7 linked regions of the Macaca mulatta genome follow. The protein of the gene in region 1 interacts with the protein of each later gene in a pairwise test. Links are inferred from orthologs where the notes say so. Each region holds a gene or a part of one and is shown on either strand. Other genes may lie near its edges.

Evidence for each region.
Region 2: the proteins of TMEM79 (region 1) and SLN interact in binary tests that used the Homo sapiens proteins (3 or more experiments, as listed by UniProt). The two-hybrid records come from large-scale screens. The link is inferred for Macaca mulatta from reciprocal best matches to the Homo sapiens genes TMEM79 and SLN.
Region 3: the proteins of TMEM79 (region 1) and RNF8 interact in binary tests that used the Homo sapiens proteins (3 or more experiments, as listed by UniProt). The two-hybrid records come from large-scale screens. The link is inferred for Macaca mulatta from reciprocal best matches to the Homo sapiens genes TMEM79 and RNF8.
Region 4: the proteins of TMEM79 (region 1) and TNMD interact in binary tests that used the Homo sapiens proteins (3 or more experiments, as listed by UniProt). The two-hybrid records come from large-scale screens. The link is inferred for Macaca mulatta from reciprocal best matches to the Homo sapiens genes TMEM79 and TNMD.
Region 5: the proteins of TMEM79 (region 1) and PLP2 interact in binary tests that used the Homo sapiens proteins (3 or more experiments, as listed by UniProt). The two-hybrid records come from large-scale screens. The link is inferred for Macaca mulatta from reciprocal best matches to the Homo sapiens genes TMEM79 and PLP2.
Region 6: the proteins of TMEM79 (region 1) and SFTPC interact in binary tests that used the Homo sapiens proteins (3 or more experiments, as listed by UniProt). The two-hybrid records come from large-scale screens. The link is inferred for Macaca mulatta from reciprocal best matches to the Homo sapiens genes TMEM79 and SFTPC.
Region 7: the proteins of TMEM79 (region 1) and RPRM interact in binary tests that used the Homo sapiens proteins (3 or more experiments, as listed by UniProt). The two-hybrid records come from large-scale screens. The link is inferred for Macaca mulatta from reciprocal best matches to the Homo sapiens genes TMEM79 and RPRM.

What each region holds. Positions count from the first base shown.
Region 1 is NC_133406.1:110,640,258-110,644,010, forward strand, and holds part of TMEM79 (transmembrane protein 79), read right to left. Parts: coding exon 3,611-3,753; intron 3,333-3,610; coding exon 3,119-3,332; intron 2,961-3,118; exon of another isoform or gene 2,806-2,960; intron 843-2,805; coding exon of another isoform or gene 761-842; exon of another isoform or gene 725-760; intron 1-724.
Region 2 is NC_133419.1:108,554,083-108,558,494, reverse strand, and holds the start of SLN (sarcolipin), read left to right. Parts: upstream 1-1,475; 5' UTR 1,476-1,615; intron 1,616-4,412. UniProt on the Homo sapiens protein: Reversibly inhibits the activity of ATP2A1/SERCA1 and ATP2A2/SERCA2 in sarcoplasmic reticulum by decreasing the apparent affinity of the ATPase for Ca(2+). Also inhibits the activity of ATP2A3/SERCA3.
Region 3 is NC_133409.1:144,868,261-144,872,013, forward strand, and holds part of RNF8 (E3 ubiquitin-protein ligase RNF8), read right to left. Parts: intron 2,170-3,753; coding exon 1,432-2,169; intron 1-1,431. UniProt on the Homo sapiens protein: E3 ubiquitin-protein ligase that plays a key role in DNA damage signaling via 2 distinct roles: by mediating the 'Lys-63'-linked ubiquitination of histones H2A and H2AX and promoting the recruitment of DNA repair proteins at double-strand breaks (DSBs) sites, and by catalyzing 'Lys-48'-linked ubiquitination to remove target proteins from DNA damage sites.
Region 4 is NC_133426.1:107,447,827-107,452,108, reverse strand, and holds the start of TNMD (tenomodulin), read right to left. Parts: upstream 3,004-4,282; 5' UTR 2,957-3,003; coding exon 2,561-2,956; intron 2,335-2,560; coding exon 2,233-2,334; intron 1-2,232. UniProt on the Homo sapiens protein: May be an angiogenesis inhibitor.
Region 5 is NC_133426.1:49,246,620-49,250,916, reverse strand, and holds the start of PLP2 (proteolipid protein 2), read right to left. Parts: upstream 2,975-4,297; 5' UTR 2,861-2,974; coding exon 2,765-2,860; intron 1,734-2,764; coding exon 1,581-1,733; intron 1,478-1,580; coding exon 1,382-1,477; intron 521-1,381; coding exon 430-520; intron 183-429; coding exon 160-182; 3' UTR 1-159. UniProt on the Homo sapiens protein: May play a role in cell differentiation in the intestinal epithelium.
Region 6 is NC_133413.1:23,801,380-23,805,592, reverse strand, and holds the start of SFTPC (surfactant protein C), read right to left. Parts: upstream 2,956-4,213; 5' UTR 2,671-2,955; intron 1,889-2,670; exon of another isoform or gene 1,809-1,888; intron 877-1,808; 5' UTR 571-876; coding exon 510-570; intron 4-509; exon of another isoform or gene 1-3. Other genes in the region: LGI3 (leucine-rich repeat LGI family member 3 precursor), read left to right, coding at 3,810-4,015. UniProt on the Homo sapiens protein: Pulmonary surfactant associated proteins promote alveolar stability by lowering the surface tension at the air-liquid interface in the peripheral air spaces.
Region 7 is NC_133417.1:58,347,928-58,351,695, reverse strand, and holds RPRM (protein reprimo), read left to right. Parts: upstream 1-1,396; 5' UTR 1,397-1,639; coding exon 1,640-1,969; 3' UTR 1,970-3,096; downstream 3,097-3,768. UniProt on the Homo sapiens protein: May be involved in the regulation of p53-dependent G2 arrest of the cell cycle. Seems to induce cell cycle arrest by inhibiting CDK1 activity and nuclear translocation of the CDC2 cyclin B1 complex.

The sequences.
Region 1 (3,753 bases):
TGGGATTACAGGCGTGAGCCACTGCGCCCAGCCCCAAGTACCAAATTGTTTTAAGTACTCTACATGAGTTAACTCATTTAATCCCCATAACAACCTCATTTTACAGATGATGAAACTGAGGCACAAACTGCTTAATGAACTTGTCCATGGTAAAGAAGGACCCTGGATAAGAGAGGGAAGGGACCTGGATTCTAGTGCTGACACTATTGCTGACGACCTGAGCAACTCTTCTCCCCTACATCTGTTGTGATTTCCCCTTTGTAAAATGGGAAGCCTGGACCAGACAATCACTGAGTCTTCCTTTAGCTCCCTGATTACTTTTACTGCTTAAGCCAACTTCTATCTGAGACCAGTATTCCCCAAGAGTTTGAGATGGGAGGCTGAGTTACGTGAGCAGGAACATATTTATTTCGGGAAAACCTACTGGGAGAAAATGCAAGGCTGCATGATGGTCAGGAGGCTGGTGGGACAACTGACTGCTGGACCACAATCAGAAGTGACTGGAAGATTAATTTTAGCTCAACAGGAATAATATTTTATTTTAGCAAGCTACCTGGAATCCTGTATCAAAAGTAACAAGAGCAGGCCAGGCGTGGTGGCTCACACCTATAATCCCAGCACTTTGGGTGGCCGAGGCGGGTGGATTATCTGAGGTCAGGAGTTCAAGACTAGCCTGGCCAACATGGTGAAACCCTGTCTCTACTAAAAATACAAAAAAATTTACCTGGGCATGGTGGCTCACACCTGTAATCTCAGCTACTCAGGGGGCAGACGCAGGAAAATTGCTTGAGCCCAGGATACAGAGGTTGTAGTGAGCCGAGATGGCGCCACTGCACTCCAGCCTGGGTAACAGAATAAGACACCGTCTCAAAAAAAAAAAAAAAAAAAGTAACAAGAGCATATGTATTAGGGAAAATGGAAGAAAACACCTGCATTTGGGTTAAGAAATTCAAAGGTGCCTTCTAGGTTAAGGTTAATAGTAGTTCATGTGAAAATACCCCTAAGGATTTTAGGTGATGGTAAAAAGTCTGAATGAAAGGAGAGTAAGGGCCAGGCGCGATGGCTCACGCCTGTAATCCCAACACTTTGGGAGCCCAAGGCGGGCAGATCATCTGAGGTCAGGAGTTCAAGACCAGCCTGGCCAACATGGTGAAACCCTGTCTCTACTAAAAATACAAAACATTAGTTGGGCCTGGTGGTGGGTGCCTATAATCCCAGCTACTTGGGAGGCTGAGGCAGGAGAATAGCTTGAACCCAGGAGGTGGAGATTGCAGTGAGCTGAGATCATGCCATTGTATTCTCCAGCCTGGGCAACAAGAGTGAAACGTTGTCTCAAAAAAAAAAAAAAAAAAAAAAAAAGAGAAGAGTAAGAAGGCTGCGACGAGAGCTCACATGTCCTTGGTTTGTATGAAGAAAAGGACGGTACCTTCTACCGGGGCCCTCTCGTCATTGACAAACAGGAAGAGGACAGTACCCTCAACCAGGCCCCCCAACTGTGACAGGCAGAAGTTTCTTCCCAGGACAGTGAAGAAACCGGGCCATTTTGCAAAGCAGATACTAGGGGGACAGAGTGTTAGAGTGGGGGGATTGAGAGGTTGTGTCAAATATCTAAATTTGTCCTAGGCAATTCTGGAGGTCAGAATCTGGGCAGAAATGTTTAGCGCAGTATGAAGAACTGTCTAACAATTAGTACCTTTAAAAATGGAAAAAGGCCGGGCACGGTGGCTCAAGCCTGTAATCCCAGCACTTTGGGAGGCCGAGACGGGCGGATCACGAGGTCAGGAGATCGAGACCATCCTGGCTAACACGGTGAAACCCCGTCTCTACTAAAAAAATACAAAAAAAAACTAGCCGGGCGAGGTGGCGGGCGCCTGTAGTCCCAGCTACTCGGGAGGCTGAGGCAGGAGAATGGCGTGAACCCGGGAGGCGGAGCTTGCAGTGAGCTGAGATCCGGCCACTGCACTCCAGCCTGGACGACAGAGCGAGACTCCGTCTCAAAAAAAAAAAAAAAAAAAAAAAGGAAAAAGACTGGTTTATATGAAGAATTGAGTAATCAGCACACTGGGAAGTTGAGGCAGGAGGATTGCTTGAGGCCAGGAGTTTGCGACCAGCCTGGGCAACATAGTGAGACCTCATCTCTATTTTTTATTTTATTTTAATTAATTATTTATTTGTTTGAGCCAGAGTCTCGCTCTGTCACCCAGGCTGGAGGGCAATGGCGCGATTTCGGCTCACTGCAACCTCCGCCTCCCAGGTTCAAGCGATTCTCCTTCCTCGGCCTCCTGAATAGCTGGGATTACAGATGCCCACCACCACACCTGGCTAATTTTTTGTATTTTTAGTAGAGCTGGGGTTTCACCTTGTTGGCCAAGCTGGTCTCGAGCTCCTGACCTTGTGATCCACCCGCCTCAGCCTCCCAAAGTGCTGGGATTACAGGCGTGAGCCACTGCACCCGGCTATTTGTTTTTTTGAGATGAAGTCTAGCTCTGTTGTCCAGGCTGGAGTGCAGTGGCACGATCTTGTCTCACTGCAATCTCCGCCTCCTGGGCTCAAGCAATTCTCCTGCCTCAGCCTCCTGAGTAGCTGGGACTACAGGTGTGCACCAGCATGCTCAGCTAATTTTTGTATTTTTAGTAGAGACAGAGTTTCACCATGTTGGCCAGGCTGGTCTCAAACTCCTGACCTCAAGTGATCTGTCACCTCGGCCTCTTAAAGTGCTGAGATTACAGGCATGAGCCACTGCACCCAGCCTTCTCTCTATTTTGAAAAAATATATCTATTTTTAAGTTGTACATTTGGTCATAGGGGGTGTTCAGCTAGAGACCAAAACAGCTACCTGACCAGATTGCCACGGGAGTGGCTGCAATGGGTGCATAGATCTAGATGACACCTGAAAGCCTTTTTGTTTGACATGGTTATATGTATCTCTGAAATCAGCTTCCATCTGCTGACCAGCTGAAGTAAGGTACAAGAGAGAAGGTGGGCTTATCTCCCCAGGGCACACATTTGGGCCAGGGTAGAATCCGGAAAGCTCCTGACCCTGATTCTCCAGACATTCAGATGCCTAGGTTCTCTAGCACCATTCCCTCTCCCATGCCCACCCCCTGCCCCAACTTACCGGGAGATGGCAAAGAGACCAGTGAGCAGAGGGAGCAGTTTGAGGGTGTCCTGGGGCAGGTAAGTGGAAAGCACGGCCAGGTTGAAGAAGTAGAGGATAAAGAGCTGGATTGACTGGGCCACATATCGCCGGTGGATCTCCACTTCCCGCCGTGGCTCCCCAAAGGGCCGAAGGGCAGAAAAGCATAACAGGCTCAGCCCGTACACCAGGATCCCTGGGTGGAGTTGGGAAACACAGGGTAGGGTCAGAACAGGCAGGGTAAGGGCGCAAGAGGCAGTAAGCTGGGGGCAGGTTCACTGTGGGCAGTGCATAGCCTCTACACAGTGGGGTGGAAGTGGTCCTGGGAGGATATGGGCATGCAGACTGGCAGGGGGTGGGAGACCCTGAGGGGCCCAGGCCAAGTGAAGGGAAACCCTCCTGCTCCCCATGGCAGGCAGGCCCTGCCCTCCTCAAGTCCACTTCCCAATCTCCCCTTTCTTCTCACAGGCTCACCCAGCACAATGGGGAAGGTGGCAAAGACCCCGCAGCGGAGTGTGTAGATCAGGCGGGAACTCATGGTGGGCAGCCGTGGGACATCAAACGGCAGGAAGGCATATGCCCCATATAGTAGGCAGGGGAAGAGGATGAGTGCAGCT
Region 2 (4,412 bases), on another chromosome or scaffold:
ATGAGATTAAAAGTAATTTAAAAATTTTAAATACTTTAATATATTTTCACATGTCCTACAATAAATATATAGCTTTTTATTTCAACAAAAAATAATTTTGAGTGGTTACAAAAAGAGACAGGTGTGGCTTGGTAACTAGGAAAACATTCCCAGCCTGGCAAACAATCTGGTGAGAGCTTGGAGGCAGAAGGCAGCACTCTGACTACATTCAAGGAGTTTGCCAGATGGCAACAGATAATGCCAATGTTCGATTGCACTATAATTATTATACACTCTCTGTCACTTCAGCAAGCTCTCTTTTCACAAGACAAGTGGGGACAGAATGTTGTATTAAGATTACCCATCGCTAAGCTTATGTTAAAATGAGGAAACGAAATGGAAAGTCTTGTTTTGGTAATGTCTCTGGGGTATGAGGAATGGAATGGACGGAAAGGTTTCACGACGGGCACAACTACGTAGAGAATTTCGTTTGTTTATGCCTTTTGGGAATGCATTATTTTGATTGACCCTAACTGGGAATTCAGAGGGGGAGATTTCCTCTATTATCTATAAAGAAAGGATCTGCTGAGCAAACACAATGGCTAGGGTCATGTTTAAAGTACTCAATTGATCTGCTTTCAAGTCTAATGAAACACTTCAGGGGCTCTAAACATGTGATATGTTGGTTACAAACTCATCTTAGTCTAATTTTAGTCAATGTTTGTGTTAGAAAGTTATATAATACTTGTCTTTCATTCAGATATATTCTATAATTCACATTTTCCACTAATTTTACCCCAGTTCTCCTTCCCCCCCAATCTATCCAAATAACTGAGTTGAACTCTGTGAGTTTACTGCTCTATTAATTTATTGACAGAGATATACAAACCATGACTTCCTCGGCTGTTTCAGATGAAACTGTAGATCCACATGTAAACTTGCAATGCACAGCTTAGCCGGAAAGTTATGTGGAGCAGGTGACTGAGGGGATAGCTTTCACTGCTTGGACTAAAGTCAGTTTTCAAAGAGCTAAAGATGCCTATTGAATTCTGGAGTGTGTGTGTGTGTGTGTGTGTGTGTGTGTGTATGGGTGTGCATGTGTGTGGGTGTAAAGCAGCAAACTCTTCACATTTCAAATAACTAAAGATATGGGTGGTAAAATGAAGTCACATTTTTACACCTCACATGCTGACTAGGGAGAGCAGTCAAATGCAGCATCGACTGGTTAAAATTAGTCTCTCATTCTTGGTTTAGGATGTTTTAAAGACATGTTAAAGATATTCGTGAAGATGTAAAAGATACATTTAAAACCCACGTCAATTGCACTAAAAGTCAACTGGAAACAGAAGGTTTTTAAATCCTGGTAGTGGCAAATTGGCAGCCAAAGGAACAGAGTCTTAGTCAACATATTCCCATGTCCCCCTGAACACAAATAGCCTCGAACCTTCGGAGGGTGTTCCTTTGAGATATTTCATCAGTGACATCACAGTGATTGCCAGCTTCCACGGACTACTTTAGGCACTGCCCAGAGTCTAGGAGTCCAGACAGCCTGGGAGGGGAGAAGGAGTTGGAGCTGAAGTTGGAGACAGCGAGGAGAAACCTGCTATAGCCAGGGTGTGTCTCTGATCCTCTTCAGGTAACTGCAGGATTTTTATGCTTAGCATACGGTGTGTGTGTGTGTACAAGCTGCAAATGAGAAAGGCACAGGAATGTTTACATTTCTTAATGAAATAGGCAATGCCCCTTGTATACAGCGTGCCTTAAGGTATAAAGTGAATACTATTGCTTTCTCTTTTCCTTTTCTTTCTCCTAAGGGTATGCATTTTTTCCCTTCCTAGTAAAAAAAAAAAAAAAAAAAATTTTTTTTGGTATTATGGAAGAAGGTCTGTTTGCTATCTTCTCTAAGTCTCCATTCAAAGAAAACCAACGTCAAGCTTCCTGTACAATTTATTCAGAGCTTTTTTGGGTTTTAGTTCATCCACTTGCAATCACTGGATCATATGGCATGACCTTGACTTCAGGGAATGTTTAAAATGAAACCCAAAGTGTCTTTATGGGTTAACAGCAGAAAAATGGAACTTGGCTGATCTGAATTTCTGCCTAACTGGTTCATTCTTCCTAAAGTGTATAAATGTGTGTGAAAGGAATGTTCACACCACACCTTACAGTTAGTATATGTGTTGATTGAATTGAATTCACTAGAAATTCTCAACTTAACTCTTTATGTTTAATTCATCTAAAATCACATAAAACAATAAATACTTAAGGTCACCGTTAAAGTGCAAGAAGTAGTAAGAAGTAAATCCCAAGAAAGAAAGAAGTGTGATGGGTAGCCTGCTAATTCAGAGATGACTGAAAAAAAAAATGTAAAGAGTGCATAAACATATACAGTTTAAACAGTAACTAAAAGGCAACACTTCTATAATTATCATCCAGCTCAAGAAACAGATCATTGCCAGCGCCCAGAAACCCATTCCTGATCAACCCCCATCCTGCCCTTCTGCCTCAGATGTTGGGATCCTCTTGTCCCTGTTATTCTTTATAGTTTGACCATCTATGTGTGCATTCCTAAACAGTATGATTAGCCTCCCTATTTTTGACTTCATATAAATGGAGTCATATTCTATGTTTCTTTTGTAAATTCTTTCACCCAACAGTTATATTTGTGAGATCTACCCATTTTGTGTGTAGCTATAGTTCATACGTTTTCTTTGCTTTATAAAATTCAAATGTATGAATATACCACAATTTATCATCCATTCTGCTGTTGATAAACATTTGAGTTGTTTCCAGCTTGGAGTTATTGTGATAATATTGCTGTGAACCTCTTTGTTTATGTAACCTGGCACACACGTCCTTAAATGTCTTAAGGTAGAAGTGAAATGCTAGATATTAGAGAATGAACATTTTCACCATTAATTCTAAGAAAGCCAAATTGTTTTCCAAAGTGGTAGAAAATTTATGCTAACTTTGTTTAGCCAGGCCAGTTAATTGCAGTGATAATTCAATTATGTCATAACTCCTAGGAAGTGACCACAATTCTAGTAACTAGTTCCAGTCTGCTAATTCTAGCTTTGCCTCTAACTTGTTATCTGTCATTACACAAACATCTTAATCTCCTCTCTCTAAAAGTCAGTTTCTCAGCTGCAATCTTGAGAAAGAGAAAAACTGCAGTAACACTTGCCTGCGTTGTTGTGAAGGTAACACGAACAGAGCTGTGGAACAGCTTTCAATAGTATTTTTCTCATTTTCTGAGTATATCCTGTTGGATAACTATCCATGATTCCTGTGACTTAACAGCTTAATTTAATAGGCAGATTTGGTGGGACCGTTATTTTGCCCTCCTTGAATTGAATTGTTTTGATCATTATAAGCCAGGCTTCATATTTTCTGCATTTCTTGAGAACTTACCCAAATAAATGGACATTTGGACTAGGGTTTTATTTCATTGATAAGTCTATAAGAAAGAATCTGTCTTCATTTCTCATTCCTTTGCCTCCAGGCACCTTGGCAAGACTCATTACCTTTCTGTTCTCCTCTGCTCTTTTGTACATTCTCATAAATCCTTTTTCCTTGATCCATTCATTTTCTTCTGTTTACTTTCTCCTCCAAGCAAATCTTTGTAAAGATTTTCTATTTTTTCCCCTTTTTATTTTCTTGGAGAGACAGGGTCTTGCTATGTTATCCAGGCTGCTCTTGAACTCCTAGGCTCAGGTGATCCTCCCACTCATTATTAGACTGCCTGAATAATGTGCAAGCCTCCCAAAGTGCTCATTAGAGGCATGAGCCACCATGCCCAGCCATTTGCGATCGTTTTCATTGGCAATTTACTATTTCCTTCATGCTGAGGTCTAAAAGATGGATAACAATTAAAAGGGAGATGAAACATAAATCTGTCATCATTTGGCTATATATTTGCTGGCTGGCACCATCCGATTTGAACTTGTATTTTTTTTTGAGACAGGGTCTCATTATGTTGCCTAGGCTGGTCTTAAACTCTTAGGCTCAAGGAATCCTCCCACCTCAGCTTCGCAAGTAGCTAGGACTACGGGTACCCACTGCCATGCCTGGCTGAACCTGTATGTTATGCCAGTTACACAATACGAAAAATGATTATTCAGTTGGCATTTATGCAATTAATAATTTGGTCCATTGATAATATAATCAATACAGTAATTACAATTAATAATTCAGTCATGTTAGATAGTTAAAAAAATACCGCTCAGACCAAAAGCTTGCTCACAACCCTTTCAGCCTCTTGAACTCTCACCTTTAGCAAACAAACAAAACACCTTTTCTCCCTAAACTTTCACTCTACAGTAGACTTTGGCCCTAAATATCTAAGATATAAATATCTAATTATTCAAAATACATAAATCTTTAATTTCATTTAGACTGCCTGAATAATGTGCAATTTACACTACCTCACTGAA
Region 3 (3,753 bases), on another chromosome or scaffold:
AAATCCCTAGGGCTTGGTGGGCAGAGGGAGATGCAGCTGATAAACAAGGGACTAGATACACTTCACTATGAGCAATATGTACACGACCTACTCATACCCAGAGAAATTATCCAAACTGATCCTTTTGCCTTTAACATTTTGGTTCAAAAAAAAGATTTTGCAGCTATACCTTGAGGCATGTCCAGAGCAGCCACAAATATTAATCAACAGTAACTTGTTCGTGAACATATTAGCCTTTACAGAGAGTTCTGTCCTAGTGAAGGTGTGATATACTAAACACGTAGACATAAACCACCCTCTACTAATTTCAAGAACTAGTCTAGGCTGGATAAGGGAAGCAAAAAGGTACATGTAAGGAAGCAGTGTATACTCTCAAAAGACCTATTTAATCCATGGCTTTTGCTAATACTACCAGTTCAAGGGGATGGCAGAGATTAGAATGAAATTTATAAATTGCTCAGAAATAAGCCAACACTACCTCTGGTTGTTCCTTACCCTGACCAACCCAAACAAAAAAGTTTATTCACTTTAGTTGTGACTGGTCCGTGTGAGTTCTAAGTCAACAATAGGGAATTCTTGACATTCAATATTATCTGAGCAACTGGGTGGGAGTAAAATGTGTGGTTCCTGCCAGATAGGAAATGACATTTTGAGCAAGGACAGGATCTGCTCTAGCCTAAAGCTTTGTGCAAGAGTTTGTCATTGAAGCAAATGACTCAGGGATGGAAACACATTTGGTCTTACCTTTACAAAGCTAAGATAGTCATTATTTTACCTTCCTACTATAAGCACTGTGGAAGGTGGTTTATCATTCAACCCAACAATGCAGTCATGGTGCATCTGTCCCATCACATGCTGGCTGCTCAAAACAGAAACAAAAACATTTTCTGCCTTTTTAGCCTCTCACCTCCTGGGTTAGCTACAGAGTTAACTAACCTTTATAGCTAACAAACTGTCAGGTACAAGGGCAGAGGAACCAGCTGACCTGTACCTGCCCTGGGACTAAGTGATTTGGCCTTGGCCACAGAGCAAAGATACGTAAGTCTTGAAGACAACTAATGATTTAATTGGACTATACTGTGGTTTTGCGGCATCTTGACCTTCACCTAACTTCCCCCTGAATTCATGTTGGTTCTGAGTTGCCTCAGCTTTGCATCCTGAGATGAGTTATGTCCTGGCTGGCTCTGCTGGTCACTTTACCCTATCTTGGCACCCCATCTCTGGCTCTTGATCTCATCAGCATGCTGACGCCTTAACCCTCTACTCAGTTCCCTTCCCTGATCTCAAAAGTTTACTGTTCCCATTCCATTTCTTGTCTTTGGTGCTCAGAATTTGGTACCTGGCCCAGAAACTGAGAACTCTGGCCAGAGGCTCATGAAGTGCCCGCCCCACTCCTGAAGACCACTCTTGCCCTTCCCTTCTGTGTGGTACCTGAAGATGCTGTTCCTCTTCCTGGAAAGTCTTCTCTAGTTGCTCCACTCTTGCCTGCTGCTGCGCCTGCTCTGCACACAGCTGGGACTGTAAGTCCTGCAGTTCCTGCTCCATTCGCACAATTTTCTTTGAGTTCCCCTTTTGGGTCTGCTTTTTCACATTCATAACGGCTTCATGTTTTTCTTGCATCTGTATTTTCAGCCTCAGAATCCTGGACATGGTCACCTTAAACATCTGTAAGCTTCTCTGAGATGCTGAAGAGTTTGAGGCTTTCTGCTCATGATGAACCTCTGTGACTATGGGGAAGCCAGGGTAAATGGGAGCCCCTGTGGTCTTCGTACTTGGCTCAAGGGCAGTCAACTTAGGATCCAAATTTTCAGAGGGTGTACTGGCCACTTCACCTTTCCCCTGTGATTTCACTGACTGACTAGATTCACAAGACACTTTATTTATTTTGGATTTCAAATTTGAGGGGCCTTCAGCTCCAGGACCTCCTAATTGATCCAAACTGAATTTCCTTTTAGTTCTCAATTCCTTATTTTTTTCTATCATCTGGTCATTCTTTGGGGAAAGACAAGGATATATTGTCTCCCAGTCTTCTTCAGTAACTTCATATTCATACTCCGCATTCTCCTTATTTTCCAGAGGCACTCCAAGTTGGATGTAGTCTCCCTGATGAATGGAATAGACCCTTAAAGGTTCCAGACGTGCTCTGTTCAGCCAAACACCATTTAGACTCTGGGGAAAGTGAAAGACAGAAGAAATAAGCTTCGTGATTTTCGTCTTCTTAATGGAACCTCTCTCCTGCTGCTGTAAAACCTTCTGCCTTTTCAGAAGGAAAACTCTTGATAACAAATAGAAAAGAAAGGTTCATAAACTACCATCCCTAGAAACAGCATTCGTTAAGCAGTGCTTTGGCTTTTTACCTATATTTCACATTCATGCGTCCACAGAGAACTGCCATATTAACAGGCAGGAATCACCTTATTATTGGTGGATAATTTACTCAAACACATGGAATAGCATTAAAGGAAACTGAAATTGGCTAGCTCCTATTGACCTAAACTGGAGCAACGTCCCAAAACTAGAAAAAATATTATTAGTGAAGAAAGCAGTAGTTAAGGATGAGGTCCATGAAGTAGGTTCAAATGCTATCTCTGGATGTGGTTCCTTAACACACTGGTAAACAAGCACGCACACATAAATAAAAAAAAAAGAGAGTACTAAATCCGGTACTGGGGTCAAATGGCAGATAGGATCTGAGCCAATTAATACCAACAGGGATATATGGGCAATACAGGATAATGGTTAAGAGCTGGAGCTCTGGACTCAGATGCGGGTTCATAGTCCGCATGGCATTTGACAATTCACTTAACCTCTCCATGCCTGTTTTGTCTGCAGAATAGGGATAGTACAGTACCTACCTCATACTGTTTCTGTGAGGAATGAATAAGATAATGCATGTGAATCACTTAGCACAATGACTCACATAGAATAAATGCTTAATAAATATTTACTGTCTGGGAGTGGTGGCTTACATCTGTAATCTCAGCACTTTGAGAGGCCGAGGTGTGTGGATTACTTGAGGCCAGGAGTTCAAGACCACCCTGGCCAACACAGTGAAACCCCCTCTCTACTAAAAATACAAAAATTAGCCAGGTGTGGTGGTAGATGCCTGTAATCCCAGCTACTTGGGAGGCCAAGGCATTAGAATTGCTAGAACCCAGGAGGCGGAGGTTGCTGTGAGCCGAGATTGTGTCACTGCACTCCAGTCTGGGTGACAGAGCGAGACTCTGTCTCCAAAATAAATAAAATAAAATAAACTTTTATGGTTTTAAAGAAGTCATAGTATCGAGGTTAAGAGCACAGATCCTGGAGTGAGACTGCCTGGGTTTGTAATGTGGCTCTATCACTTAGCAGCTGGGTGATTTTGGCCGGGTTTCTTGACCTCTTTATGGTCCAGTTACTGCATCAATAAAATGGAGGAAAATAAGTCTCCCCTTATGGTGTCTGTGCGGATTTAATGAGATAACATATGGCAATTATTTAGACAGTGCCTGGGCATCGTGTTACATAAGTGTTCACTACTATTACTATGCCTTGGTTCAACTGATTCATCAACAATCATTTCAATTCTATGCTCAATGTCATGCAAGGTAAATATATTGAGTGAAAAGACATGAAAACTTTCAGCAGCTGACTGTGGAAAAGACAACACAAGGGCACAAATAAGTAAATGTGGGATTAAATGGCATAGCCTATAAATGCAAAGGAATATCATGTGCAGCTGGGAGAGCTAAGGGATGCTAAATGGAGATGACA
Region 4 (4,282 bases), on another chromosome or scaffold:
CACCATGTTGACCAGAGTGGTCTCGAACTCCTGACCTCAAGTAATACCCCTCTTCAGCCTCCCAAAGTGCTGGGATTATAGGTGTGAGCCACCGTGCCCAGCCCCCTTTGCCTTAATCTTTCAGAAAAATAAATCCTATTATATCACTTCAGGTTCTCATTGCTGTCTGGCCTACTCAAATGCTTACATTATTTTCTGAACGTAATTAGCATATGTTATTGTGTATAGTAGCTTTTTAATCCTATTGATTTTCCTTTTATCTTACCTTTGCCTACTGTAGTCATTCCTAATATCCTGAACGTTGATCTATTCCTCAGATGCATCTAACTCATGCTTACTTTAAAAAAAAAAAAAGTCTCCAAACTCTGTCACTACCATAGACCTTGGGAGCAGAGCATCATCTTTGGGAGAACGTTCTTTGTTTTCTTGGAAATTCTAGTAACAAGAGTCTGTAACTTCTCTGGCCCTGAGGAGACCAGTAGCATGAAAGAGTAAAATGGGAGCCAATGACAGCTCTAAGACTTGGGTAAGGGAAGGAAAAATAGTCCTCCCCACCCACTACCCCCAAATAAAGAAAAAATAAAGGAAAAGAAATGGGTTAGTGAGAATCAAGATGGAGGGAGCTGGGTGGGAGAAAAGTGAAAAAGAACAGGGAGAGAGAGAAGAAAGAAAGAGGTTTTTATAGTTTGTAGAAAGATCACTCTGCCATGGCCGGGCACGGTGGCTCACGCCTGTAATCCCAGCCTTTGGGAGGCCTAGGCGGGCGGATCACGAGGTCAGGAGATTGAGACCATCCTGGCTATGGTGAAACTCCGTCTCTACTAAAATACAAAAAAAGAAATGAAACAAAATGACGGGTGCTTGTAGTCCCAGCTACTCAGGAGGCTGAGGCAGGAGCATGGCATGAACCCAGGAGGCGGAGCTTGCTGTGAGCTGAGATTGCCCCACTGCACTCCAGCCTGGGTGACAGTGTGAGATTCCGTCTCAAAAAATAAATAAATAAATAAATAAATAAATAAAGAAGGATCACTCTGACATTGCCATAATTCCACTTTAGATTTGCCAGCTAAGCAGTAAACTAAACCAATGCTTGTTTTTTTCTTGCTATAGTGGGGATATGTTGTCACAATATGACCTTAACTGAGGTCCCCCTTCTCCCACTAATAAAACCATACTGTAATTATAGACAAAATATCAGGAAACAATAAAGAGCCTCAGGGACCTTACAGATAGTTGTATTATAGGCAATAACATCCATCTCCCATTAGGTTTTCAGGGGCCATTCAGTGATTGCACCAGCACCCTAGGTTGCCTTACTTTGGCCTAGCAGGGTGTTTTTAGAGAGTTTGTATCACATTTCAGTGTTCACCTTCTTTGCTTTTGCCTTTCCTAGTGAGGTTAAATGTGAATTATTGGCCGGGTGCCGTGGCTCAAGCCTGTAATCCCAGCACTTTGGGAGGCCGAGACGGGCGGATCACGAGGTCAGGAGATCGAGACCATCCTGGCTCACACGGTGAAACCCTGTCTCTACCAAAAAAAAAAAAATATAAAAAACTAGCCGGGCGAGGTGGCGGGCGCCTGTAGTCCCAGCTATAGGGAGGCTGAGGCAGGAGAATGGCGTAAACCCGGGAGGCGGAGCGTGCAGTGAGCTGAGATCCGGCCACTGCACTCCAGCATGGGTGACACAGCAAGACTCCGTCTCAAAAAATAAAAATAAAAGTGAATTATTCCATTAGCAGCCCAGCATAAAATGGTAAGGTGAATGAACCACAGTCTTTAAAATAGGTGAATACTGAAGTGTGACAAAAGTGGCAAGAACCCCAGGTGGCTTTGGAACTTTCTTTTTTAAAAATGCTTTATCTGAGGCAAGATTTTGTTTCTCTGGCTCATCCCTCTTACTAGAAATCTTTGGCTTCAGAGAAAATCAACATAATGTTAATGGGTGCCCTGGTATAAAAGTATAGCATTGCACCTAAAATTATGCAATTCAGTTTTTTGAAAGGCCTAAGTTCAAGACCCCAGTCTGCTACTCACTAGCTGTGTGACCTTGAGCAAGTCACTTTTTGGCTCTGAGTTCGAGTTTCCTGATCTGAAAATGATGATAATAATAGCACCTATCTATAAGGTTGTCGGAGAATCAAAGAAAAGTGAAGCATTTAGTACAATGTTTGGCACATAGGTAGCATCCAATAAATGATGTCTTTTGCCACCACAATTATTCTTCTTACATACCTCGTCTATTTCCTCTTCTGGTTCAGAAAATTCAGGAATCACTTTAATCTGAGTTTTGATAAAACATTTTTGAAGACCCACGAAGTAGATGCCAGTGTATCCCTATGAAACAGACAAAACAACAATAAAGCTTCCCAAAAGACCCACTATTAGTAAGTTCCATGATCTGTTGGGGTACCAGACTAGCAAAATTTGAATTCATAATGGAATGCTAGCCTCCTCTAGGTTTCCATTTGAATTCAAATTTTAGATGGAGGCTATTTTTAACTTGACTCAACTGCTCTAATATTTTAAGTGGAAAGCCTTAGGGGGAAAACATCCAACTTACGTTTTTAAAGTCGTGTACTTCCAATGTTTCATCAGTGCCATTTCCGCTTCTGAATATTTCAGTTCTGGTCACAGGATCAATTTCCATGTAAATCTTCTTCTTCTCTCCATTGCTGTAGAAAGTGTGCTCCATGTCATAGGTCTGGGAGAACAGAGGAAAACAATCTCTAAGATATTCAGTGTGGGTCAGGAGATGGAGATCATCCTGGCTAACACGGTGAAACCCCGTCTCTACTAAAAATACAAAAAAATTAGTCAGGCGTGGTGGCGGGCGCCTGTAGTCCCAGCTACTCGGGAGGCTGAAGCAGGAGAATGGCGTGAACCTGGGAGGCGGAGCTTGCAGTGAGCCGAGATCTTGCCACTGCACTCCAGCCTGGGCGACTGAGCAAGACTCCATCTCAAAAAAAAAAAAAAAAGGATACTCAGTGTGTCCCTAAAGTGAGGTGCTTTTTGGTGCTGCAGCTGATATGGAGATCACTTCAGAGCTGGTATTTTGAATTCAAGCCAAGCTGCTGAACTAATTACTAAGAATTCCAACAGTTTTCTTGGCAGCCTTGGCTAAATAGCAAATGATAGTTTGTAAACCAGCCTATAAAGTATTTTCCCCTTGTGTTAAGCTGAGGGATCACCTAAAACCTATGCTGCTTCTTTAAGCTACCACTTCCCTTTCCAAGTGCTAAGTAATCACGCCCCCCAATCCCCCCACACTGCCCCTTCCCTCGCCCATGAAATTCATTAGGTCTGAGAAAGAGATTTGAATACACTTAAAATGGTTACGTATTGTTTGTCTCCTTATCTATCCAGGGCTTTAATATTGCCACAACAGCCTTGAGTCTATCCTTTTAGAATCTGAAGACTTTCTCCTTGCCAATATTAGTCCTACCCTGCTCTGTTTGCTTCCTTTTGCACCTTAAACTCCAGGAAACATTTATACCTTTCCTTAGTCTTCTCTTTATAGGGCAACCAACCCCACCCAGTTTGTTCCTGGGTTCTGTTTCCCAAGCCATATTCAGTTGTTTTCAAGTTCTGCAGATTCTTTTGTGTATATGGAATTAAGCCAACTGAGCCAAGTGTCCTGCATTAAGTAACGTGGAGCCTCCCAAGAAGAAAGGCTGTTCATCAGGTCTTTCTTGAGTGGCTAAAACAAAACCCCAGATGTTCTCCTGTGCTCTAAAAGAGGCAATTGTATTTCTAGAGACCAAGAGGACCAGTCCCATATGGTACTGCAGTTTAGGAGTAAGCCCTTATCTTATAATTTTAGGGCATATTTATAGGTAGAAGCAAATAAGCGTAAAGGAATTTGTTATCTGTCACGAACCAGGCCAGACCTGATGATGCCTTTTGGAAGTCTATCTTATCTCTGTCATTAGGAGACCTTTGTTTATCAAGTTTCTTCATATTCATTTTTCCTTATGAAAAAAAATTTGGAAAACTAAAAGCCTTAAAAAGCAAGTCTTCAGAGCCCACATTGCTTTCTAATGATACGGTTCCCAGTGGCAGCCTTGTAGAGAACTTACACCAGGTTGGGTCGTTTTTTAGTGTCTGCTGATGCCATTGACTGAATGTTAGTTTAACCTGGTCAAATATTCACCAACTCAACTAGAGAAAAACAAATTGGAACCATTTGTAGAAGCAAGTATTACTTCAAGGGTGGCAAGTCTAATGTAGCTGCTGAAGAGAAAATCAAGAGTCAATGTCATTTACCCCTTGGTAGCTCTACAGT
Region 5 (4,297 bases), on another chromosome or scaffold:
ATTGGCAGGCTGGAAGACAAAAGTCTCCCAATTAAGGCACTTTTACCTCTATGAGGAGGTGGGAGTTGGTTGGCTGGGAATATTGTTGTTGGGGTGGGGAGGAGTTATTTCAATGGAGGAGTTATTTGCAGATTGCAGAGGGAAATGAAGGGAGCTCGCCTACACCGGGCCATCTGCGGGGTCTGCAGGTGAGGAAAAGAGAGAAAGCATTGGCTGAATCTATATGCCCATTTTTTAAAAACAAGATCCAAAGTCCGTGAACATTTTACACACAAGAATACTGAAGCTTATGGTACCTATTGGTACAAAAGCCATCAGTACCAATACGGGACCAGAGTTGGCATTCATGCCTTTAAGAGATCCCTTTCTTTTTCTCCTCTGCCCTCTCAGCAACCCCCTTACCCCCAACCAACACACACACACCCTTACCAGTGGGGGCTGCTGTATGTCTTGGCTGCCGAAAGGGGAAGGTGACATAGGCATCATAGCCAAAGAGGCACGTAGCGATTAGGCCCAGTACCTGGGGGACAGGATAGGAGTGAGGAGGGTTAGATTAGGAAGTCAGGTTACTCAGTCTCTTATCTTCTTGCATCTACCACCTCCAGCACCTGCCCCATACAGGACGGGACTCAAGCCCCAGGTTGGGAAGCCAAAGAACCCCAGGGAAAGGCCAAGATAATGCATCCTACCCCACTCTCCCTCCTCCTATACCCCTCAACACAGGGAGGCCACACTGTGGCCTTACACGTAGGGGGCACAATTCAATTCATACTTTTTTTTTTTAAGACACAGTCGCACTCTGTCACCCATCTGTCACCCAGGCTGGAGTGCAGTGACATGATCTTGACTCACTGCAAGCTTTGTCTCCTGGGTTCAAGTGATTCTCCTGCCTCAGCCTCCTGAGTAGCTGGGACTACAGGCACCTGCCACCACACCCAGCTAATTTTTGTATTTTTAGTAGAGACGGGGTTTCAACATGTTGGCCAGGCTGGTCTTGAACTCCTGACCTCAAGTGATCTGCCTGCCTCAGCCTCAGCCTCCCAAAGTGCTGGGAATACAGGCATGAGCCACTGCGCCCAGCCCCAATTCCTACTACATTTGGGACAAAGTTCTTGCAGATGGTAGTCCAGTGTGTTGACAAAGGGGCCACCTGTTTGTACTTCTCACCAAGGTCCTTGTGAATGACAAGGGACTGCCCTTCACAGCAAATGAAGACCTTGGGAGGCAAAAGCAAGTCCTGTGCCAAACTTCCCTCCATGCCCTGAGGACAAGTGTGACTTGCTGTGGGCCACACGATTTCTGCTGGAAGCTAAGGCAGAAATGGCCCCTGGCTCCTCAAACCCTTCTCTCTGTGCTTCAGAGCTGCTCCCATGGCCTTTACCCCTGCGACGATTTTGGAGTGGTTTCCTCTCTCAACAAGGACAACAATGGAGGTGATCAGGTAGAGGATTGCCGCTATGAGGGTTCGGAAGAAATCCTGTGAGGTGTAGGGAGAAGAGGGAAGTCAGCATCCACAGTTCCCAGACAATCCTAACTGCCCAGACCCCTCCCTGGCCTTGCCATTGTGGACCCCTTCTCACACTCCAAGGCCAGTTGATGAATGGTATCTTGGTGTGCAGGTCACACATGTAGACAACAAAGAAAATAGCAGCAAGGATCATCTCAACCACCGACAAGGAGGAGTAGCCTGGTGTGGAGGCACTGAAGCAGATCAGGATCACCAGACATAATATCTGGAAGGGTGACATGGGAAAGGGGACCTCAATCAGCAACCAGGGCTGAGGAGATTGGTTTAAATTAGGAGTCCCGTACTCGAATGACTATGAGCGCTGGGGAAATGACACGCAATAATAGCTAAACACTTTTTATGTGCTCACTGTGTTCCAAATTCAATCATCACGACAATCTAATGTTCTGGGTACTATTATTACTCTCTCTAATTTATAGATGAGAAAACTGAGGTGCAGAGAGGTTTAATGGCTTGGCCAGGGTCACCCAGCAAGTATGAAGTAGAGTTGGGTGCCTCAGTTTCCTCCCCTTTTCCCTTCTAGGATATGGGCAGCCTGAGGGGAGTGGCGCTGCCAGGTGTTTTGTGAGCCCCGCTGACGCCGGCTTTGTGGCCTTGACCCGGGCTGAACACGCGGTTCCCCCAGCAACCCCTTTGGGAAGCGGTGAGAGTGACACCAGAGAGGCAGGACTCCCTTAAAGGCGCCGCACCCCTTTTACAAGTGACTCAAAGGCGGCGCCCACTTTGAGAAGGGTGGAAACCCCGAAAACCTAAGGACATCCCGCCCGGCCTCAGAAGGGCAAGGAAGAACTGGCGAAGGGCGGGGCCCTCTACACCGCGGGACTAGCGCGAGGGGGGGCCCCACCCCAACAGGCCCTGCCCCTGGGCGCGCTGCCAGCCCGCCCTCCTGTGTCCAGGCCGCGCCACGCCCTGCCGCAGGAGGCCCCGACTTCCCAGCACCCTGGGACCCCTTCGATGAGTCCACTGATGAGTTAACGCAGCTCCCCCCATGTAGCCCTCCGTATGCGTTATAGGCTCCTTGCCTCACCCCGGGGGCTACCAGATCTCAACAACCTTCGCCAAACCCCACCGACTCGCCCTGCGCCCCGGGTTTCGGGCCTTCACCGTGAACCCACCCACCTGCACCCCACTGCCGAGCGCCCCGGCCAAGTGCCTGCCTCACCCGGACCATCCAGTTCCGCGTGGTCCAGCCACCCCATCCCGCTTTTGCCCACGCGCCTGCCCCAGGTCGCTCACAATCTCAGCAAACAGGAGGATTCCCTTTCGGGTGCGCGAGAAGTTGGTGCAGGCGGCCCAGCAGCCAGGGGCAGAGAGGCGCTCAGAATCCGCCATGGCATGGGCTGGAGTCCGTGGTGCCTCGGAGGATCTGCTCGCTTGCTCGTGGTTTCGAGGACGCTGCACACCCAGCTGTCTTGCCCGCCGTCTGGCCGGGAAGGGGGCCCCGGGGCGAAGGAGGGAGTGAATCACCGCGCAGAGATGACGCGGGCGGGGCCGGAGCCGGGCCAGGTGGCTGCCGCCCCGGAAGCCCCCTCGCCCCGCCCGCCAAGGATACTCCCAGCCCGGCGCACAGCCCCCGAGGCGCCCCATCGCCAGGGTACTTGGCAGCTCCAGGTACCAGGAGTAGTAATAGAGGGACCCCTCGCCTTTTTGGAATGCAAATGGACCCGAGACAGCTTCAGCTTAGAACCGCGGGAATCTGGCTTTGGGAGGGAGTGACTCAGTTTCCTTAACTGAATAAAACGGCCTAGGCAGAGTTAAATCCGAAAGACCTGTGGCCCAGTGTGTTGCCAGAATGCAGAATATTTTTGATTTCAGAAAGTTTTCCCGTGCATATACTCTCAGCGGGGTTTGGAGCTGTCGCGTTTACAAAAAAAAAAAAAAAAAAAAAAAAAAAAAAAAAAAAGCCAGGCGCGTGGCTCACGCCTGTAATCCCAACACTTTGGGAGGCTGAGGCGGGTGGATCACCTGAGGTCGGGAGTTCGAAACCAGCCTGACCAACATGGAGAAACCTCGTTTCTACTAAAAATACAAAAATTAGCCGGACATGGTGATGCATGCTTGTAATCCCAGCTACTTGGAAGGCTGAGGCAGGAGAATCGCTTGAATCTGGGAGGCAGAGGTTGCGGTGAGCCAAGATCACGCCATTGCACTCCAGCCTGGGCAACAAGAGTGAAACTCCGTCTCAAAAAAAAAAAAAAAAAAAAAGCAAAAACAAAGAAACAAAATGGTATGTCTTCAAGAAAAGGTATGAATGTTCACAATAACTGGGTAAGGATTGAAAAGTGTTCCTCCGCTGGGCACAGTGGCTCATGACAGTAATCCCAACACTCTGGGAGGCTCAGGCGGGAGGATCGCTTGAGCCCAGGAGTTAGAGATCAACCTTGGCAACATAGTGAGACCCTGTCTCTACAAATAATTTTAAAAATTAGCCCAGGCAGCCGGGCACGGTGGCTCACGCCTGTAATCCCAGCACTTTGGAAGGCCGAGGCAGGCAGATCACGAGGTCAGGAGTTCGAGACCAGCCTGACCAACATCGTGAAACCCCGTCTCTACTAAAAACACACAAAAAATGAGCCGGGTGTGGTGGTGCGCGCCTATAATCCCAGCTAGTCAGGAGGCTGAGGCAGGAGAATTGCTTGAACCCGGGAGGTGGAGGTTATAGTGAGCAGAGATTGCGCCACTGCACTCCAGCCTGGGTGACAGAGCAAGACTCCATCTCAAAAAAAAAAAAAGGAAGAAAAAAAGAAAAAAAAAATAGCCCAGGCATTG
Region 6 (4,213 bases), on another chromosome or scaffold:
GTGAGCCACCATGCCCAACCAGCCTCCTGTCCTTTAACATGCCACCCCAGTTCCTGCCCCCTGCCCCAGCCCCCTCCCACCAGGGCCCTGCCCTTTGGTCATGAGCTGGCAGGTTCCCCTGTCCCCCCCTCCACCTGGAGGGCCTTCGGCCCCAAGGTTGCATAACAACATGGCATCTGAACTGAGAGCCCCTGAGAAGCTGAGAAGCGCAGGAAGGAAGAAAGGGAAGGAAGTGTTTGCTCCCACCACCCTCCTCACCCCCGAGCTGCCCCTTTAAATATTTGCCTAAGACTCCAGCAGCTCGAGAGTGTCCTAGGACAGTGAAAGGAGGGGAGGGGTGCCGGGAGGAGGGGGAGCCCAGAGAAGCGTCCTCTCAGCTCGGCCTCAGCTGTGTGCAGGTGCCAGATGTAGGAGACAGCTCGCCTGCAGTGCCCACCCCTGCCCTCCCCCAGGGCCCCCACTCCTGCCCCCATCATCCTGGCAACATTGCGATTGATCAGCTGACTCACACGTACTGGGCCTGAGCCAGGTGGGCAGCCAGCCAGCGGGAGAGCCAAGCACTGCAGGCATCTCGGGGTCCCTGTGGGCATCTCAGGGGGCCGTGTTGTCCTCACGTGGGACTTGTTCTTAGCAGGCACTGTGGGTGGGGCTTGCCGCCATCACTGGGTGCTAGGAGAGGGGTCTCTTTCTTTGAAAAAGCCTCTGCTCTTTCTGGTCCTTGGTCTCCCTTGCCTGTTGCCCTTAGGCTGTAGCTGTCATAAGCTCTGTGGCTGCTGTTGCTGCTGCTTCTCCTTAAAACTCATTTTTGCTTGAGGGCTGAGGGAGGGTGCCCGCCTCCTGGAGCACTCACACTAACCAGGTGAAGGTCCTGGGTTCCTTGGAGAAGGAAACACAGAAGGATCTTTAGCTGGGTGTGCCAACCTTCCCCCTCCCCCATACCAGCCCTATCTGCAGCCTTCTCACATTTTTGCCTTTTCTCCTTATGGGAGAAATGCTTAAGCCATTTCTCCCTCTGTGAAAGCCAACCTCCAATCCCTCTCCACTTCTCCGGTTTTATTTATTTATTTATTTATTTATTTAGAGACAATGTCTCACTCTGTTACCCAGGCTGGAGTGCAGTGGTGCAATGACAGCTTCATAGCTCACTGCAGCCTTCATCTCCTGGCCTCAAGTGATCCTCCTACCTTGGCCTTCCAAAGTGCTGAGATGACAAGTGTGAACCCTGCATCTGACCTTCTATCTCTCTGAATGCCACCCACCCAAACAGGCCAAGTGCCATTGGCACCTGCTCTGTGACCTCACTCCAGTTCATGGTGCCCTTTGAAATCCTCAGCCTCTCTGTGGCACCTTCACCTGCCATTCAGCACATATGAATGTTCTTGTCAGCTACATGGGTGATTTTTGTTGCTCTGTCTTCTAGCCCAACTGCAGGCCCTGGGAAGGAAAGGAGCACGCTTCCCATAGGCTTCTTTGAACCTGCCACTGGGCAGGAGGCATGCAAACAGCCAACACTTAATGATAGTCAATGATGAGACCAATACCAACAGTGGCCAATAGTCCATGCCTTCTGTATGTGGAGGTCTCAGTGCTTCCACTGGCCAGCTCTGGGACCCAGCGTGAGTCATTCTGCTTTGCTAGGCATTAGTATGTTCATCTGTGAGATGGGTCAGGTACTAGCTGTCCACCTCACTATGCTATTATAAGGACCTAATGGCATCATGGGTGTGACATCCAGTCGTCATCATTAGCATCATCTACTTCATCCTCTAGGGGACCTCCCACTAGCTAAGAATACAGCCCAGACTCGCCCTCATTGTCTGTTTCTGGGTTGACCCCCTCTGAGAGCCCTGGGCAATGGACAGCCCCACAGTGGCCACCCCTTCTGTGTGGGCCTCCCCGTTTCCTCCTCCAGCCTCTCAGCTGCAGGGGTGGGGACAAGATTCACTTTGCTCTTTGTGTACTGGGCAGAGCCGTGCCAGGGACGGGTGGGAACAGTTGCCCAGCTGCCCCAGCCACCTCCCTACCCCCACTGCTTCCCTGCCCCCAAGTTGGCATGGGGAGGGCAGCTAAATGTGTGGCAGCAAGTAGACATCAAAGTGCAGGGGCATCCCTGGCTGGGAGAACACGACTTAAGCTCAGACCAGAGAATCCCCTGCTGGCAGAGTCTAGGGACAGCTGGGGAAGCGTCTTAAAGCCATTGGTCTCAGTTCCCTGGACTGGTGTGGAAAGAGCACAAGACTAGAAGCCCAGGCAGCTTACAGCCAGGCTCCCCTTGCCCCATGCCTATGAGCTCTTAGGACAGTCATCCTCCGCCACGGGGAAGCTAACGTGGTATAGAGCAGCAGTCTTCAAGCTTTTTGGTTTCAGTACCCCTTAACACTCTCAAAAAGTATTGAAGACCCCAAAGAGCTTTTGTTTATGTGGGATATGTCTGTTGACATTTATTGAGAAATTATCTTTTTATTTACATATGAATTTAAAATATCAGTAATAAACCCATTATATGTTATGATATAAATCACATTTTTAATGGAAAAACTATTTTACAAAGCAAAAATAAAATTAGAAAGTGTCACTCCTTTACAGTTTTAGAAATCTTTTAAATTTGGAACTTCATAGAAGTGAAAAGGGCAAATCATGTCTTGACAATACTAGGGAAATTGTTTTTACCTCAGAGACAGAGAAGGCCCAGGGCTACACTTGGAAGAACCCTGCATGGAAGGACAACCGTGAACGTTGAAGTTGGGCACAGTGGGCAGAAATCCCTGCTGATACATTTTTCTTCTGGTGCGACAGGCCTCACTTTTCTTGTCTGTAAAAGGGAATTACTATCACCTGCCTCAAACTATTGAGAGGATTAAGTAGGGAAAGTACAGAACACTTGAGATTGCAAACTTAGCCAGCCTCTTTTTGGGGGACCTCAGTTTCCTCATTTGTTAGACAAAGGGCTGGACTGAAAAATATCTAAAGCGCTTCCCAGCTTCAACAGGCTGTGGCTGAGCAGTGAGAAATGTTCCAGAATTCCACACAGTCCCACTCCAGCTCCAGAGGCTGTGTTTCCCTTTTCAGCTCATGCTGACACAAAGGTACATTCTGTTCAGTGGCGCGTGGAAAAACATGTGAATTCAGTTAGAAGCGCACTTCAGACTCCTCCAGGACGCCCTTGTGCTTCTAATCTTGCATGCTAACTTAGATATGCGTCTGCCACTCACGACATGCCCATGATGCTGCCTAGGGGATGTGTCCCCCCCATGCAAAGAAATCCAGGTACACAGAAGCACAGAGATCCCTAACTCCGAAGCGCCTCCACAAGGCAGTGTGTGCATGTGCCCGTGCAGAGACAGGTGAGCACCGGCGCGCACGGTCGTGCCCAGCACACGAAGGCACAAGTACAAGCTCACACGCATGCACTCACGCGCAGCCACACACGCGGATGGCCCCAGAGACAGCCCGGGAGAGCACACAGCGGCCACTCCTCCCCTTCGGTGACTCCCAGACTCGGGCCTCCCACTGCCGCCCCGCGCGCGCCCCCGCCGCCCGCGCCGCAGTCCGCATCCACCCCGCGCGGTCAGCCCCGGCTGCGGCTCCAGCTCCGCGCTCCGCGCTTCTCTCCCGAGCCGGATCGCGGGAACGAGCAGGGGAGGGGACCGCAGCCGGCGCCCGAGGGCAAGAAGAGTCCGCAGGCGGGCCCCTGGCTGCGGCAGCAGCTGCCGGTGGCCGGGAGGTGCCAGCCCGCGCGGGGTGGCCCAGCCGCGGGAGCGGTGGGGCGGGTCCGCGGCTGCCGGCCCCAGGGAGAGCTCGCGGGCAGCATGGCGGGGCTGCGGGCCAGGCGGGGCCCGGCGCCGGGGCTGCTGGCGCTCTCCGCGCTTGGCTTCTGCCTCATGCTGCAGGTCAGCGCTAAGAGGCTCCCCAAGACGCCCCCCTGCCCGCCCAGCTGCTCCTGCACCAGGGACACCGCCTTCTGCGTGGATTCAAAGGCAGTGCCCAGGAACCTGCCCTCGGAGGTCATCTCCCTGTGAGTGTCCAGCCCCGGCCTTGGGGGTGGGGAGGGAGAGGAGGCCGAGGACAGCTCTGGGAGAGGACAGGAGAACCCTCGCTCCCCCTCTTCAGAGTGTGGGGACCAGGGGGACTGCAGGGGTCCTCAGGGCTGGAGAGCCCAGGCCCCAGTCGGGCAGGGAGTTCTGCAGTTTTGCAGCCTCAGCGGCCATGGGTG
Region 7 (3,768 bases), on another chromosome or scaffold:
GAGTTGAAAATGGCAAGACAGCTGCTTTTCAGTTTTATTTTATTTTTAATTGACAAACAATTGTACATATTTATGAGGTATAAAGTGATATTTTGATACACATATATATTGTGGAATGATCAAATCAGAGTAATTAGCGTACCCATTATCTCAAATTTTTATCAGTTCTTTGTGGTGAGAACATTTAATAGAAAATAAATGTATTCTGTTGAAAGCTCAAGTTACTGGTTTCCAGCTGTTACAGCTGAAAGAAAGAGGGAGGAAGGCAGGGAGTAATGGGGAAAAGGAGGGAGGGAAAAGAAAATAGAAAAGGGGGCGCGGGATCATGCAGTATTCTTTCAGAGTTAAGAAACTTAATCTATAGGTTTATAAAATTTCGTTGGAACCTACAGCAAAATCACAATGGCTGAAGCGTCAATCAGGCCCATACAAACATCTGTGTTTAGTTTAAATGACTAAGGGTGAAATGCATCAGCTTATGGAAAATGGGGAGGGCTCCCAGCATTTGGCCAGCGTTTTAGGTGATGGATGTTGATGAGCAATTCCTTTAAACAACTGATTTACTGCCAATGGACAAAATGCTGGAAGCACATCCAAAAATTCATCTGCAATTAAAATTACAAGCAAGTGGTCACTGTGTTCACTTCCTTTACCAGAGAGGTGACCCCTGCTCCCGGCAACCACCTCCACCCAAGGGCCACAGAAGAACTCCTCCTTCCTCTAACCCCCTTTCCTTGGCCTCACACCTCATGATAAAATCTGCCTTGCTCTGTCTCCCAATCGCTTTTGTAAAGGAAGTTGAGTGTAGAGCTCTTTTTTCTCCCTGCCTTCCTTTTTTCTTTCTTTCCTTCCTTCCTTCCTTCTTCCATGCCTTTCTGTCTTTCCAAATTCATTACTTTGTAAGAAACATTCTCAGATCACCTCCACTCCACCAGAAATCCAACGCAGGCGAGACGGAGTCAAGCACAGGCGGTGGGCGGGTGGCCTCAGCTGGCACCATCTGGCACCTGGGATTCATCGCCACTTTCCATCAGCCCAGAGGTCAGGGGGACAGCCGGCAGAGGACACGCAGAGCTCGTGTGTCCCAGTTCCTCTGAAACTTTCAGCTGACCGCACCCTCCCCCGCCAAACTCTTTTAATCATCCATCAAGCTAGAAGAGTACGATGACCTCTGCCTGGCCTTCGGAGTTTGCAAAAGAAGAAAGCAATAAAAAGCAAGACCAGGTTCGCCCCTTTGCTTCCTCCACCGCCCAAGAGTAGCGCGCAGCGCGGCGGTGCGGCCGGAAGGGGCCGCTGTTTACTCAGTGCAGCCGCCCCGCCGCTGCAGCCGCCGCTGCCCGCACCTCCCACGGCCGGGCTGGTCCAGCCCCGCCAAGTTCCAACAGCCCCCAGTCGAGCGAGCGCCGGGAACGAGCACCGCCCGGGCTGGAGCGGACGGCTTTAGAAGAGCCTAGCTGCTGCGCGCGTCGGAGAGGCTCCTGGGAAACTCCCACGGCCCAGGGACTTTCGAAAGCAGAGCTAGGAGCCCTTGCAAGCGCTAGTCTGCGAGTGAGCGCTCAGCTCGGCACCTGTTCCTCCAGCGCCGCCGCCTTCCCACCCCTCGGACCCGCGCCGCTCGCGGCGCCCGCCCGCTCCTGCGATGAATCCGGCCCTGGGCAACCAGACCGACGTGGCGGGCCTGTTCCTGGCTAACAGCAGCGAGGCGCTGGAGCGAGCCGTGCGCTGCTGCACCCAGGCGTCCGTGGTGACCGACGACGGCTTCGCGGAGGGAGGCCCGGACGAGCGCAGCCTGTACATAATGCGCGTGGTGCAGATCGCCGTTATGTGCGTGCTCTCACTCACCGTGGTCTTCGGCATCTTCTTCCTCGGCTGCAATCTGCTGATCAAGTCCGAGGGCATGATCAACTTCCTCGTGAAGGACCGGAGACCGTCTAAGGAGGTGGAGGCAGTGGTCGTGGGGCCCTACTGACCCGCCCCTCCGCCCCCGCGGCAACCGCTCCCACGCCTGCCCACTTTGCCAGCCCGGCTGTGCCCCTCACTGTCAGAGACTGGGCGAAGCAAACCTGTCGGAGTCAATTATTTCTCTCGACTTCGGCCTTTCGGAAAGAAGCGACCGGTTTCTCCCTCGCCCTCTGAAAGTCCTCATGCCTGGCAGTCGGAGGAGAGCGCCCGGACTTCTGGACTCAGCAGAAAGTGGCAAGAAGAAGGCGATTAGGGCGCAGAACTTTGGAAGCTGCTACTTACTTGGAATGCGGGGAGAACGACGGGGCGCAGGCCCTTCTCCACCCGCAGGTGGGCCAAGCTCTGGGGGCAAGTGGAGAGGGAGGGCAGGGGAGAGACCCAGCGGCACTGATCGCCTTGTGACCGGAAAAATGACCTGTTAAAAGCCACGCAGCAGACATCATGGGGTCTCACAAATCCGTGTCCGGGTGTGCTCCCACTCTTCTCCTGCTCCCCACCAGCCCTGGAGGGGAGAGGCGATAAATACCTTTGATTGTAACGTGCTGTTTTAAGAGGTTTTGTGTTTGTTTGCTTGAATACAAATATTTGATAAGTCTTTTTCTGCCCCAGTGGCCTGTTTGCCTGCCTGAGGGGTTAAAGTTTTGTCGTTGTGGGAGAAGGGGTGGGGGGAGGGGAGCCTGCGACTTTGAGGGGGGTGAGTTGTTTCTTTTAGTGCATTTCCCACTGGGTCTTTTGGGAGGTGTCTAGCGTTCCTGCTGGCCCTGATACAAAGACCCAGAATAGAACTCGTAGCTCGTGACTGCACGGTTTACGCCACAAAAGTGCTCTTGACATCCGTGACACCGTTTTGACTTTTTGTTTTTTTTTTTTCTTATTTAACATTTCCTTAATAAATGCAACATTTAAGCGTTTTGTTCCTGGCCTCCTGGTGGTCATTCTGCGCTCCCCAGCAGGGGGGGAACGGGGCGGCGGTGCAGAGTCTGGCTCCCGGCCAGGGAAATTCACCCTAGAGAGCTGCGATTCAACTTGTGGATCCCATGGAGGGGCGAGGGTGGGGCCAGACGGAGAGGCCCTGGGATGACTGAGACAGAGCCCAGCCTCAGGCACAGTAGCCGTCCTGGAGGTAGCATCCTTTGTTTCCTCTTATCGTGAATATTTTATATTTCATTTAGTCTCAGCTCTCAGATAGGCGAGACTACAGGAGGGCCCCCGCGGGAAGATTACACTTCCGTGCCAGGCTCCGGCGGGAACACAGGATTACACCGCTAATGAAAGGAAGAGAAGGCTTGGACAGCCTTTACGGAGAGCGTCTCTACCCTAACCAACGTCAGCGAGGCGGCTTTGGGATGCTGCCCACGGGCGGGGCCGGGGCATGGGGAAGGGGAATTATAAAATGCAAGGAAAAGTAGCTGCTAAGGTACACAGTGACGTTAATGCTCCCTGGGGTAAACCATTGTTACTAAAACATGAGATGCATTACTGTCGTTGCTATATTACTTTTTCTGGCAAAAAAAAGACCAGGTTAAAATAAAGGTTCAGCCTGTTCTTTGTAATTTAGACTGCCCCAGACCAGGCAAAGGGTTGAGAGGAGTTAGCCGAGGTCCTGAATGTGGGAGATGAGTATTACAACCCCAACTGGGAAGGATATTTGGAGTAGAGCTACAGATGGTCGTTGACATATTTAAGGCTCAGAAATTCAACAGCGTTAGAAAGAAATGCCTAAAAACCGTGCCTCTGAAAATAACCCAAAGGATACAATAGCTTCGAGCATAAACTTGACAAAAGGTTTTGAGCAGTTTATTTTTA